Arabidopsis thaliana: one gene and its partners. The protein of the gene in region 1 interacts with the protein of each later gene in a pairwise test. Each region holds a gene or a part of one and is shown on either strand. Other genes may lie near its edges.

Evidence for each region.
Region 2: the proteins of CNGC13 (region 1) and AT1G45170 interact in a protein complementation assay, tested with the Arabidopsis thaliana proteins (one large-scale study listed by BioGRID).
Region 3: the proteins of CNGC13 (region 1) and NRT2.6 interact in a protein complementation assay, tested with the Arabidopsis thaliana proteins (one large-scale study listed by BioGRID).

The regions. Positions count from the first base shown.
Region 1 is NC_003075.7:433,712-439,432, forward strand, and holds CNGC13 (cyclic nucleotide-gated channel 13), read right to left. Parts: upstream 3,881-5,721; 5' UTR 3,693-3,880; exon of another isoform or gene 3,561-3,692; 5' UTR 3,532-3,560; coding exon 3,503-3,531; intron 3,377-3,502; coding exon 2,854-3,376; intron 2,781-2,853; coding exon 2,269-2,780; intron 2,143-2,268; coding exon 2,031-2,142; intron 1,941-2,030; coding exon 1,704-1,940; intron 1,616-1,703; coding exon 1,221-1,615; intron 1,141-1,220; coding exon 858-1,140; 3' UTR 506-857; downstream 1-505. Other genes in the region: AT4G01000 (Ubiquitin-like superfamily protein), read right to left, coding at 1-16; AT4G01020 (helicase domain-containing protein / IBR domain-containing protein / zinc finger protein-like protein), read left to right, coding at 5,375-5,721. UniProt on the Arabidopsis thaliana protein: Putative cyclic nucleotide-gated ion channel.
Region 2 is NC_003070.9:17,095,441-17,100,008, forward strand, and holds AT1G45170 (outer envelope pore 24B-like protein), read right to left. Parts: upstream 2,602-4,568; 5' UTR 2,471-2,601; coding exon 2,270-2,470; intron 1,921-2,269; coding exon 1,561-1,920; intron 874-1,560; coding exon 793-873; 3' UTR 540-792; downstream 1-539. Other genes in the region: AT1G45180 (RING/U-box superfamily protein), read left to right, coding at 3,895-4,568.
Region 3 is NC_003074.8:16,477,022-16,481,131, reverse strand, and holds NRT2.6 (high affinity nitrate transporter 2.6), read left to right. Parts: upstream 1-1,572; 5' UTR 1,573-1,745; coding exon 1,746-2,585; intron 2,586-2,672; coding exon 2,673-3,461; 3' UTR 3,462-3,571; downstream 3,572-4,110. Other genes in the region: AT3G45050 (uncharacterized protein), read right to left, coding at 4,025-4,110. UniProt on the Arabidopsis thaliana protein: Involved in high-affinity nitrate transport. Required for the nitrate uptake-independent plant growth promotion and lateral root response to the rhizospheric Phyllobacterium.

The DNA.
Region 1 (5,721 bases):
AACTCTGATCCGCCATCGATTTTCGATTCAAAAGCTTGGACGAAGAAGAAGAAGTTCGATTTCTAGAGAGGAATCAGAGAGAAATTGGGGAAATTTGACGGAGCCCTAATAATAAGTCTCTCTCTCTCTCGCTGCTTGTTGGGCTAAGATTATTATCTTATCCACACTTTTGGGTTTATGACTGGGCTTTATATTGTCTGAATCTATGTCGGTCAGGAGAAATCGATTTTTTTTGTACAATTTGACCAAACTAATATCTATATATGATATGGTAAATGATGTATTATTAAGTAAAAATTATCTACAATTGAATCTTATAATAAATATATATATATGGAAAAATTACTCTTAGATAAAATAACATGATAAATTGTATGTTATTGGTTAAACATGTTATTTGTTTTTTTTTGGTCAAAACACACACATGAAAAAACAATTTTTAAATAAATTTGTTATATTTACTCCAAAGCTTTTAAAACTAAAAAAAAAATTAAGGTTACCTAAAGTTATCAAATTCATATATATAACCATGTTTTATTTTTATAAAGGTATCTTCAATAGTGATCTCTATATTTTCCTTTATTTATAGATATGACTCTATTTTAGAGGCTGCTCCAATGGTCACATGTAAAATAGAATTTTCTTTAAAATAGAGGAGATATCATCTCTATAAATAAAGATCTCTACATTTAGTCTCTATTTTTTTCCTATTTTTGAGGAAACTCTATTTTAAAAGTGACCATTGGAGCATCGTGCCTATAAAATAGGGTCACTAAATTTTTGTAATTAGTTTAAGCTTTAATGTCGTTGACACAATATTATATACAAGTGGTAAGTGGACATGTGTAAGAGATATTTTAAGGGTTTCGGAGACTGAAATCAGGCTCGGAGGGTTTAGGAGGTAGCAAAGGTAGGTTGTTTGTACGCAGATTGCGAAGCGCGTTTGAAGCAAACCGCGACGCGTATAACGTTGCAACCAGGCTAGACGAAGACGCCGCATTGCGTTCGCGTTTTGTGATCGCGTTTCGGAATCGATCTTCTTCTTCGGTTAATGATCTAGCTAGTTTCCTCCGGCAATGTCTCCGCCACGCCGCTTGTATGAAAGACGCACCCCAAGTTCTCCATTGAACCGAATAAAACCTGACAGTTAAACCGAATTAAACCAAACAGAACCGGAGATTGGAGAAGCAGAGAGATCAGTCAAAAGAGACCAAACAAACCTGAAAGTATGTTGAAGCTGTTTGCTATGTAGTCGTCTGAACTGTGAAGCAACAAGCTTGAGATCATCTGCTGCAAGAGCAAAGGCTTCTACTTCGGTTAAAGCTTGAACTGTTCTAGTCGATATCGGAAAATGAGACGAAGATTGAGGATCTAATGCCCATGTGAGAAGATCTTCGCCGCAAAAGTCACTAGGTTTTAGGTATACGGCGTTAAAGAAGCCGGTCCGGCCACCGTTTGTGGTGGCGCTCATCAGTTTTCCTCTCATGACAAACAACATCTCTTCCACTGGATCTCCTTCTCGAATTGCATAGCTGTTCTCGGTGTAGAGCACTGGTTTTAGCTTGTCACACACGGCATCTAGCAATTGCTCATCCATTATCTCGAACAGAGGTACCTATATATATTTGATTCGATCAATGATTATTTGAATGAAATGTCAAATTTGAGGATCAAAGAGATAAGGTGGAACTAGAAGCACTTACTTTCTTGAGAAGATCGAGGCAGAAATGGCGTTTGATGTCTCTCCTGAGGTCTTTAGGGAGATTACGCAGAAGGTTTTCTTCTTCTACTCCTCTAGTTTCCTGCCATTTGTACTGCTCATACCTTCTGATACGTTTCCTCAAGTCATCGGGTAACATTCGATGAGACATCCATTGCTCTGCATCTCTTTTTCTCACTCTCATCTCCTCTTCCCTCACTGTAGTTGATTCCAAGTATTTCTGTTATGGAAAGTGGAAACATCAGTAGTGTTTTATCTTCCTTGGGGATCAAGTAAGTGATGGAAAAAAGGCAGTGAAATGAATATATACCTGCATATTGCCGATAAGTAGTGCGAATAAGACTAGTCCAGATATACAAATTGATACAGCAAATATGATTTCCCCAACGAATTTGCTTGTATTGAGATTTTGTCCCAATGCACTGCAGCGAGTGAGAAACAGCAAGTGATCAGATTAGTGTTTCATGCTCAACATATCTTAGCCAGCCATCAAGTGTGTCACATGAATCCTAAATTACTAATAACTAGATAGAGAGAGTGTTACAAACCTTAAATTACGCAAACCCCACCAGAAGCAGTAGAAGAACTTCTTCCAGAAATCATCTGATTCAACAATCCCACTCTTTAAAGCATCAGTAAAGATACCAAAGTTGAAGACAGTTGAATTTGTTATATCATCAGGGTTGATAAACGGGCACGAGGTAGTCAGGAAATCGTTTCTAACACTACTGTTTCCATCGCAGTAGAGAAATCTAAAGTTACACACTTCTGGTATCTTCTCACAAGCTTCACGCCAGCATCTGTCTTCTCGTTCTACTGATATTAAGTACCATAAGGCTCCAAACACATGACTGGCTAACATATAGAGAGATAGGTTCCAAGCAGCTCCAGCCCAAGCGGTTTCAGTAACTATGCCAGATGTTCTTGTAACTTCAGTGTAAAGTGGATAGATACGAAGAATCCTTGGAATGTATTGAGTAAATATGACAGTTATCAAATAGTCCTTAGTGATCAAAGAGACCGGCTTGTTGACATTGGGGATGACAGCTAAGACTACAAGCTGCAGCAGATACAACAGAATATTAAAGAACCATCAAGAAGGAACTATAAAACCATTAGGAACTAAAGGTTACCTGTGGGAGTGGAAGGATAGAAAGAAGATCGATGATGAAGTAGGAGGAGAGGTACTTGATGGCTATAGCTTTAGGATCATCAACCAACTCGCCTCTTCCGAAAACACGAGAAGAAGGAGAGATATAAGCAGTTCTAAACTGAAACACAATGTGAATGATGTAGAAAGCATCTATAAACGTGCGAAGCACACTAGCTGCTATCTCCAAGTTACGATGCAAATTAAGACAGTGTCTTTCTCCATCAACAATAGGAATATAGAAAAACAATGGATCAATAGCCAAAGCAATCACTGAAGCAAAAAGAAAGATTTTGTTCCAGTTCTGTAAAAAAGATCCTTGTGGGTTTATAATATTCTTCTGTGTAGTGGTACTAGAATTAGAATCTCTCTTCTTATTATGTGAACCAAAACTTAAAGGTTTCTTAAGTCCTCTACGAACATTCTTCAAAACTGTGTTTAGAGATGGTCTAGCTTTATTTCTTCCGTAACCATACTCTGTTCCCTCTGAAATCCAATCTCTGAACCTAAACAAAAAATCATCAACAAAAAAGAATATTTTTTCTGAGAATCATTCATATCCATAGTTTCTCAGTAAATTCATTCTAAAAAAAAAAAAAGACAGAGATTAAAGAAAGCAAGCAAACAACAACCTTACACGATTGTTGCGGCCAAAAGCCATGAGTCAAGCTTTTTTTGCTATAACGGATCCTGAATCATAAGAACATCGATTTGATCGCTTTAATTCGTTATCCCCAAGTTTACAGTAACAGAAAAAAAAAAAAAAGAAGAAGAAGAAGAAACGGAAACTAAGAAATTAAAACATTTATATCCGAAACTGACCAGAACGTTGAAGTAACTGAGAGAAGCGATATAAGAAAGATTATAGTAAGAATTTTCCGATGATCTGAAATTGGGAAAATTCTCGAAATTAATTCTCTGAAGTTTTTTTTTGAAGCAGTCAAATAAGCTATCATCGTAGAGTCAAGCTTGGCATGGCGCTGGAAAATGGAGACTCCATTGGCAGTTTCTTCGAAATTGTGTGCATTTTACAATAAAAGACAAAAGAGAGGGAATTATTAAAGAGTCAAAAACATTTGATGGGCCTAACCTTAATTAAAAGCCCAATTCGATATTGAATTTGATTTTAAAATTCAGAACTTGTTATATATCAGACCAACACAGTAAACATCATAGATTCCAGTAATGCATCAGCTATAAACAGATCCTAGCAGTGTGAAATAGTAAATATGCTACGATTTAAAGGTTTGGATCCAAAGAATTTTACCAACTTCATAGCAGATTGTTCACACTCTACACTCAATAAGCCAAATGTAAACAAAAAGATGACCAAAGATCTTCACAAATCTACCATGAATCACAAAATCTATGAAGACAATGTGATTTAAAGCAAAGATCTTACAGTTTTTATGGGCTCTTAGTTAAATTTTGAGATAGTAAATTTTCATATAGGCCCAACCGCCCAAGTGAGCAATCTTGCAGGACTTTTGTGTTGTTTATGGCTTTTGTCTTGTCTGACTCATGAAATCTTGTTTTTTTTTGTAGATAAAAGAACGATAAATGACGCTTTTAAAACTTTTTAAAGACGAGAGTTCTAATAAAATTAGGAAATAATAATATATGATGTTGACAAAAAATGTAGAAAAATATATGAAATTTTTATTGGCACGAAAAATTTGTAGCGAACCGCATCATATCATCACTTATATAAGCAATATTTTTTGAAAATAACTCATTTGAATATCATTAATTAAGCAGATGAGAAAAAATGATATGAGGTTATTGAAATTTTTAACCAAATTGTTTTTTATATAAAACATGTAACACTTTCTGTTTGTTTTTTCTTTTATATAATTTTGTTAACACCTTTCTATATTTTCTGCTTTCAATATTTTCTATTTTCTTTTATTTTGAAATAGTATTTTTTTTTGTAGGGATTTGAAAATAGTTTTTTTTTTGTAGGGATTTTAAAATAGTTTTTGAAACTACTAACTAATTATTAATAAAATTCAATGCTTTGAATAAAATCTAAATGGTATACAAATATTAAACTTTACAAGAATATGAGTTAACTATTTAATACCTTTAAGATTTCATATTTACTTTTGATGATATGTACATTTTAATACGTATATGGCAATATCATTGGTAGATACACTATTTCTAACTTAAATTTTAAAATGTGGTAAAAACATAAAATTGAAATACTAAGAAATGTTACTTTAACACTTTTATCCTCAAATTTGGATTTCTGGATGTTTCTATAGGTCGAACCAATAATTAAAGAATTGATAGTAACAAAATGGGTTTTAATATTGATTAGAAGAAAATTAAATTAGGTTAAAGAAAAAGGAAAGAGTAGACGAAAAGTTAAATAAATTTTAATAGGGTTTTAATATTGATTGATATAACTCTCTGACTCTTCTGTGACTCTTTTCAACTTCTGACTCTTTCTCTTTCGCTCTCTCATTCTTAACAAGAAAAAAAACTGGCATCATCTCATCATGAGGAACTCTTTTCCTCCTTCAGACGGTGGGAGATCGACGACTGATCGTCGTCAGCAGTCGTTTCCCTCATCCTCAACGAACCGTTATAACTCTCGCTCTGCACAATCTTCTCCGCCGCTCAACCACTGTACTACTTGGAACCAGCAACACTCTCAGTACCATAACACTAATTTCCCGCCAAATTACAGACGTGATCGTGCTCCGTCGTCGGGATTCTCTCCTCCAGTCACGCGGGCTAGGCCTAATTTCATCGTTCAGCTGCTTCACCCCGCCGCCGCTAACAGTGACACAAAGCTGTCTAAGAAGCAAGAGATCGAGAGTATCGCTTTGCTTTGCGAAATTCC
Region 2 (4,568 bases), on another chromosome or scaffold:
TATAGGCTATCTATGATATGGCTAAGAATTCAATATTTTTTGTGCAATAATCAATTTATACTTAGTTTCTAGAAGTAAACCAAATATGCATACACGTTTGGTTCTGCAGTGATGCAGATTGGTAGATGAATGTGATATGGTTGCACATGTTGTGAGCCCGTCGGTGTCGCCGCTCTTTTCGCTTACCCTATATGTAGCAGTAGTAGATTGGTGCTTGAAGTACCAACCTGATGTGCCCCGCCTAATTGCCATAATGTCTCTCCCAAGTTTTTTTTTATTTACCTAAGAGTTGTATATACTTAGATGTCAAGTTCATAGTTGTTTTGAAGCTAGAAAGCTGAGAGTGTTTGTTGGAGTTAACCAACAAACAAATACCTCATGGAATTAATTCATAATGTAGAGACTAGAGAGTATGTTGAATGTTGGGTAATACTCGTGAAGCTAATTTTGCTGCTTGTGTACTCACTTTGCTTTTGATTCTACTATTATTCTCTCACTAAACCAAGTTCATAAATGGATTGGGGAAAATAATTCCATCCTAAATGCAAATTCTTCATGTATTTGTGAGTATTAGCTCGAAATGTTGAATAAAAACACCTTCGTTGACAAACTCTACATTTTTGGGTATTCTTTTACTACTAATTGGACTCACTAATACTAGAATAGCAATTTTTGTGGTCATTATAGTCTTCACAATGATAAACAAGGAAACGACTAGAAATGTTCTAGATTCCTCTGTCAAGACTTTTGAATCCACATCAAACAACCGAAAGAATTGAGACTTTTTGGGAGCTAAAGTTCCAGGTTCCATGTAGTTTCTGCGGTCAGTTTTGGCGGCTTCAATTCCTCAGCTAGATTCATTGATGCACATACCTGTTGAAACAGTAAGAGAAACTCATTAACCACGACTGCAAAAAGAACCAATTTTAGCTAAGTGCTTATGAAACAATGTTTAAAAGATCGATTGCAGCATTCAAGAGAAGTTCTAGTTCCCCATTCACACATTAACATGTTCAACCCAAACTAACCTATAAGAAAACCTGGTCGATGGTACAACAAATTATTCAACCCAACCACCAGAACCAAGTAAGAGGAACTTAATCCCTAACCAGAGGATTGTAATTCAAGTCTCTTGTTAACACTCTCTCAAGATCACCATGCATCTTTTATGCATTAATAAAGATCACACCCATGCCATTAGGAGATTTGCATCATTCATACCAAGTTTATATCACCGCTTAAGCTTCAGTCTTTCTTAAATTCTTAGTAAGCAACAATAGATAAACAACATGGCTGGGTTAAGAATTTTTAACCTACTTGATAGAACTAAATGTCATTACAAGAAGAGCAATATAGTCTCATACCTACATGCACATATATGCTTGTTTTAAAGAACAAATTTTGAGAAGAGACAGGACCGTAAGAAGAAATGCTAAGATAACAGTATATAAGAGTATCTAGTGTCAACTGTTGGGATAGTGATATATGTAAAATTCAATCTACTCCTGCCAAAAGAAGTAGTGCTATGAACAAAAACAGAGAAGTGAAAATAGTATTTACCTTGAAAGATCCAGTTGATTTAGAGTTGTTCGACCATTCCAAACCAAGCATCTTACTAGAAGTCTGATAAGTTGCCTTGAGATTATCACCACCATAAAGTTTATGAGAAATCGCAAAGTCCCACATATTCTTAGCCACGTCATAACAAGGCTCAAATGTAGCTATCCCTCCATGAACATAAGTATACTTCAGCTTACAATTCTTTGTACCCACCATGTAATTAGCAGACAACTTGTTTGCTGGATCAATCACAAAACTCCCGTCAACAATCGTCCGGTTATCTCCTCTCATATGAATGTAAGTCAGATTCAAAGGCTTCTCTGCAATTCTGATAGTGTTCATAAACTGAAACCTAACATCCTGCAGCATAAAAACCGAAACTTTTTACTTCAATTTCATTCATTTGCAAAGAATCCATTCAAATAGAACCTTGTGTAACATCCTGCAGCAGAAAAACCGAAAATTTCTACTTAAATTTCACTCATTTTTCATAGAATCCATACAAAAATAGAACCTTGTGTAAACTAACATTCTGTAGCATAAAAATCGAAACTTTATACTTCAATTTACACTCCTAACCTAGTTTAATCTCCAAAAACTCTTAACTTTCTCAGAGACTCCATACAATTTCATCCATTTCTCATTCCTTATAGGTTTGAAGCTAAAAGGGTTAACTTCAAAAACTTGAAACTAAGAAAAAAGGAGTAACCTTTTTAGGGACGTTGTAGTCGATGATGAAGAAGCCAGGCTTCTCAACGGCGAGAGAGAGACCATTAAAGCTAGGACCGGCGACGAAGGAAGCATCAGTCATGGTGGCTCGTAGCTTAGCATTGCCGGCGTTGAAGGTAAGCGAAGCAACGCTACCGCTCTTGTCGACATCGAACTTTCCCTTGAAAGAAGCCTTCATCATGGAATCAATCGGAGAATCCAATCGGAATTTTCAGGATAAAACCCATTGAAGTTTTCAAATTTGGGCTTTTCGTGGGCTTCTTAAAAATGTATAAAACGCCGTTCCGTGGGCTTCTTAAGAATGTATATAAGGCGGGTTTGAATTGTCTAACGTCCTTTCACAATTAACTTCTTTGGATTCGGTTTCATCAACTTTAAAATTTAAGAAAAGAAAGCCGCGTGCGTTTGGTTGGGACGTGAGACAATAGACAAAGACAACTTCTCACTTCTCAGTTTTTAATTTTGCCAACTTGCTTTTTGTCTTATTTCTTCCCATTTTACCAATTCACATTTTATTACAAAAAAAATAGAACTATATATATACACATCTATTACTATATTTTCCAATATTGTGATTCTTTACCTCTTTATTAGCTAAATATGTATTCAAATTTGTCTTTTGGTAACTGCACTTTTTTTATTTGACTTTTTCTTAGAAAAGTTTCCATCTTTTCTAATATTTTTGAAAAATATACTGTCTTGATAAATGTGAATTTGAACCTAACCTATATATATGTAATAATAATAATAATCTTCTCTCCGGATTCTATTCTCATTTGGTTTGTGTGCTTTGCTTTCGCTTTCCTCAATTCTCTTCTTCTTCATTATTTTTGCCTTTTACCTCTTTTCTCTGCAATCGGTTTCTTCTCTCATTGTCTTTGACGAAAGAATCTACCCATAAGAGCGTTTCTTTGCTTTCTCAACCATAACTTTCTCAGATCGATTGGTTTCTTCAAGCGATTGGTGGGTTATTATTAGCTTTCTGTGTTTTGTTCATCGTAATATTCAATACAATCTCTCGTGACTAAAAATTGAGTTTTTGAAATAGATTTTAGCATGGGTTGTGATATTTGAATGGATATCTCTGTTTTTAGGAACGAACTTGTTTGGTGTTTCTTTGGCAAAAGGTTATTGCTTTATGGTTTCACTATGGTGTTTGTATTGGTGGTTTGTTGATACGAATATGTTATTGTTCCTCATGTTGCAGTGTTAGTTTTTGACTTGAGAGTTTGCTAAAGGTTTGATCTTTATCTTATTTACTGATGCTATTCTTGTTGTAGCTATGTGGATTGTTATAGGTTGCTTGATTTTGATGTTCATGTGTCAAATTGATAATGTAGCTTTTGTAGCTGATTAATTAAGTATAAAGATTGTAATGCAGTTGAGTTTTTGGTCTTAAGATTAGGCATTGTATATTATACTTTTGCTTGCATATCTTGAATTGCTGTATTGTATTTTTCTTTGGCTGAAAGATAACTCCTTATGTATTTCAATGTGAAGGTAACTCTTTTCTTTTTTTTTATTTTAGTTTCCAGGATTTGCTAGATTGTGAAAAGTGGTGAGAGTCTCTTGATTTGTCAAGTGTCAACTGTGGTTAACGATAGGATGCAGGGAGAGAGGGCTAGTCTTGGTTCTTTATCAAAGGCTTTGAACTTTGAGCGCGGTTCTACGTCTAGTAACGCTGTGGTAGATCAGCAAATTCGTTGGGAGAATCTTCACAATTATGGTGATAATGATTTGCAGGATTACATGAGTTCAGCTGCTGATACAAATCCTACTTTTGCAAACTCAGTTTATCATGAGAAACGGGGCTTGCAGAGGTTTAACATTGGTGAGGCTAGCTCTAGTGGGACGAAGAACGAAGGGGCAAGTCTCACTGAACAATGGAAGGGAATTGGAAGGTTTGAGGAACAGAGGAATGATAAGCTTGAGTTGAGCCCTTTGTTTGTGCAACCATCTAATGGAAGCCGCGTGGTTCGTGATGTCAATCTAAATGCAGAATACAATGAGCATCTTGAGGATATGAATCCGGTTACAGTTCATCCTGGTCATTTTGAGGTTAATGGACTTAGGTCTGAGTTTTTACTAGATAACAGTGTTAGAGCTGGTTCCTCTGTTGATGGACGTCGTGCATCCTGTAAAAGAAAAGCTCTTGATGCAAGCGGTGGTCAGTCCTCTTCAACTGGAGGTTTCCGTGAGTTCCAGCGTGGAGTATCCAGTTCTTGGATCTCAGGTCCTACGTATTACAGCCCAGCAATGACAGCAAATGATTTAAACAT
Region 3 (4,110 bases), on another chromosome or scaffold:
ATAGTAATTATTAGGCTATTCATAAAAAACAAATTGAGTTTTTAATATTCAATATAGTGACATAGTGTGTAACAAACTAATTAATAAAGATTATCTAGATGGTACGGGGATCGAGGAATATGTAAGAAAGATAACTTATCGCTACATTCAATTCATTTGATAACTTTCAAAAGCTGATGTTACTTGTTTCGTTCTTTTTGGTTGCCAAAATTTTGCTCTCTGCAATTTTAGTTTTTTTTCTAAAATATGAGTTTACGTTCCAAATAAGAAATGATCGACCTTGTTTTAAACCCCCAAAAATAAATAAAGATCAAGAGATTTTCATATCTTATGGTATTATTGGGTAATTGAAAGCAAAAAAAAAAAAATGAATTTTTGAATAAAGTTGATACAACTATTTCCAAAAGTAAAATTAATTTGATGAGTCGACCACATGGAATACACAAAAGACAAACTGCAATTATTTTTAGAAGAATGAGCTTTTTACAATGAACCGTACGATCTCATAGTCTCATTGACCTTTGGTTGATGTCAAATGTCAAACATTTGTCTCTCCATAAAGATATTCTTGTACTTAGATGACTCTATAACAAAAAAATAAAAAGAATAAGAAGATATTCTCGTAAATTAACAATATTTATATATAATGTATAAGTATAACCATTAAACAAAAAGATCAACAATATTTTCAAAATATTATAGTAAGCTGGAAACATCAATGCATTAGGTAAGACACATGCATGTTGTACATTAGCTACGGATGCGCAAAATGGACGCTAAGCCGGCGGTGAAAGAGACACGTTGTTCTTCTGCATTTTATTCCATTCGTACGTAATAGTTAATTCTATAAAGTTATATAATGTTTCGACTTGATAGAGATATGGTACAAGTAGTCAATGAAACGTATTTTCTAATTAAGTTAAGTTATAAACATTTTAATAGTAAATGGAGCACGTAATTTGCATTATGCAAAAACACACATATGCTTAGTTCTAATAGGATATTCTCTTTTCCGAATGAACTATTTTTGGAGCGGTGGACTTTTTTTTTTTATTAACCGATATTAATTAGATAAAATTTAGGAGAGCCATTCATAATAATGTTATTTATATATGTTATATGATGCAGTTCGGTATAGATTTTTCGTGTCAAATTGTCCGTTTTGATATTTGCACTACGAAAGATTAAAGATAAAGAAAAGCTAGTGAACTTTCTCTTATCGTTTCGTAATTTTTCTTCTGATCATTCGGTTATACGTGAACTTTCTCTTATCCTTCGTAATTTTTCTTCTGATAATTCGGTTAGAGAAAATATATACTATCTTCGACCCTCAACACAGTTTATTAACAAAATATATAAATAAATCAGGACTTTTTTTTTTTTTTTGCTATTGAAAACGTTTGCAAAAACCTACAAAGAGACTACATCTAAAATGTACAAGAGACTTTACATATTGATTGTTTTCTACCAATAAATTTCGTAATACTATTTCACCAAAAAAAAAATTAAAACAAAAAGCCATCGCTCATTTCATTTCACGTAGTATTATTCAACTCTTATTATTGGATCCACCTAACCGTACCCACCAAAAATCTCTATAAATACTATGCAACTCATCTTCTCCAACTTACACCAAAAACAGAAAACAACAAAGGCCACAAAGAAGAAGAAAACCTTCTTCAACGTTTAAAGTCTCTTCTCTCTCTCTCTCTTAACTTCTCCCATTTTCTTTGAACTAAAGATCAATGGCTCACAACCATTCTAATGAAGACGGCTCTATTGGAACCTCCTTGCATGGAGTCACGGCAAGGGAGCAAGTCTTCTCCTTCTCCGTCCAAGAAGATGTCCCTTCATCTCAAGCCGTCCGAACAAACGATCCAACGGCTAAGTTTGCCCTACCAGTGGACTCCGAACATAGGGCAAAAGTGTTCAAACCACTATCATTCGCTAAACCACATATGAGAGCCTTCCACTTAGGATGGATCTCTTTCTTCACTTGCTTCATCTCCACCTTCGCAGCCGCACCTCTAGTCCCCGTCATTCGCGACAATCTCGACCTGACCAAAACCGACATCGGAAATGCTGGAGTTGCATCAGTTTCCGGCGCCATTTTCTCGAGACTCGCTATGGGTGCTGTATGTGACCTTCTAGGGGCACGTTATGGAACCGCCTTCTCACTTATGCTTACAGCTCCAGCAGTTTTCTCCATGTCGTTCGTAGCTGACGCGGGAAGCTACTTAGCCGTAAGGTTCATGATCGGTTTTTGCTTAGCAACGTTCGTATCATGTCAGTACTGGACGAGTGTTATGTTCACTGGAAAGATTATCGGACTCGTTAACGGATGTGCTGGAGGGTGGGGAGATATGGGAGGAGGAGTGACTCAGCTACTAATGCCAATGGTCTTCCACGTCATCAAACTCACCGGAGCCACTCCCTTCACGGCTTGGAGGTTCGCCTTCTTCATCCCCGGCATTCTTCAGATAGTTATGGGTATTCTCGTTCTCACTCTCGGCCAAGATCTTCCCGATGGTAACCTCAGTACTCTCCAAAAGAGTGGTCAAGTTTCTAAAGACAAATTCTCCAAGGTAATATATTAAACATGATCAATATTTTTAGGACAATACTAGCAATAATGCATGTGGTTCTAATTACAATTTTGTTTTGTTTAATAGGTCTTTTGGTTCGCTGTGAAAAACTATAGAACATGGATCTTATTCATGCTCTATGGATTTTCTATGGGAGTTGAATTAACGATCAACAACGTTATATCTGGATACTTCTACGATAGGTTTAACCTTACGCTTCACACAGCTGGTATTATAGCAGCCAGCTTTGGTATGGCAAACTTCTTTGCCCGTCCTTTTGGTGGCTACGCTTCAGATGTAGCTGCACGGCTCTTCGGTATGAGGGGACGGTTATGGATCTTGTGGATCTTACAAACTGTTGGAGCTCTCTTTTGCATCTGGCTTGGTCGTGCTAGTTCACTACCTATAGCTATCTTAGCCATGATGCTTTTTTCCATGGGCACACAAGCTGCTTGTGGAGCTCTCTTTGGTGTTGCTCCTTTTGTTTCCCGCCGTTCTCTTGGACTTATCTCGGGATTAACTGGTGCTGGTGGAAATTTTGGGTCGGGAGTTACTCAACTTCTTTTCTTCTCTTCCTCGAGGTTTAGTACGGCGGAAGGACTATCGTTGATGGGCGTTATGGCTGTTGTGTGCTCTCTTCCGGTTGCGTTTATACATTTTCCGCAGTGGGGAAGCATGTTCTTGAGGCCATCACAAGATGGAGAGAAATCAAAGGAAGAGCATTACTATGGAGCGGAATGGACAGAGGAAGAGAAGAGCTTAGGACTACACGAAGGAAGCATTAAATTTGCTGAAAACAGCCGGTCAGAGAGAGGCCGCAAGGCGATGTTGGCTGATATTCCAACGCCGGAAACCGGATCTCCGGCTCATGTCTAGTGAAGGATAGTCACATTACATCTTTTTCCACATATAAATAACCCTCAAACTTAGCTTTATGTTTGCATGTTTTATGTTCCTCTTATGAGAGATGTACCGAGTAAGATCCTGACTTGATAAGTGAGGTTCAGTGAGCTCGGTGCTCATGATGTACAATGTCGTTTGATATAAGACTTATGCATCAGTTTTCTCTCTGTTTTATCAACAAGCCGTGTCTTTAAAAGTCTTCCAAGATCATATTATTGATTTAACAAAATCGATCAAATACTGAAAATGAGAAGAGTGTTTTGAGGCACAACTAGTCATACCTTAAGAAGAAGCAATTGACTTTAGTAATCTTTACGTCTCAGAAACAGATCACATTAAAGAATCTGGAAAGAGTAAGAAGCAACTTAACTAGTATGACAGGTGAAGATTGCAAATGTAAAACTTAAAGTTGTATGAAAGTTTTCAAACATTGCAGAATCTTTCATAAATGAAACAAAACAAGAAAGCTATGCTAAACCTTTGAATCGGTTTCTGAAGAAAAGAGTTTAACGTACTTGTAAACTCTGCGTAAGGAGCTAGATGCTTGTCTTTCCACTACCACCACATATCATACAAGATCTCGTGGAAGAACATTTAGTGCAATAGCTCCATTTCTTGGGAA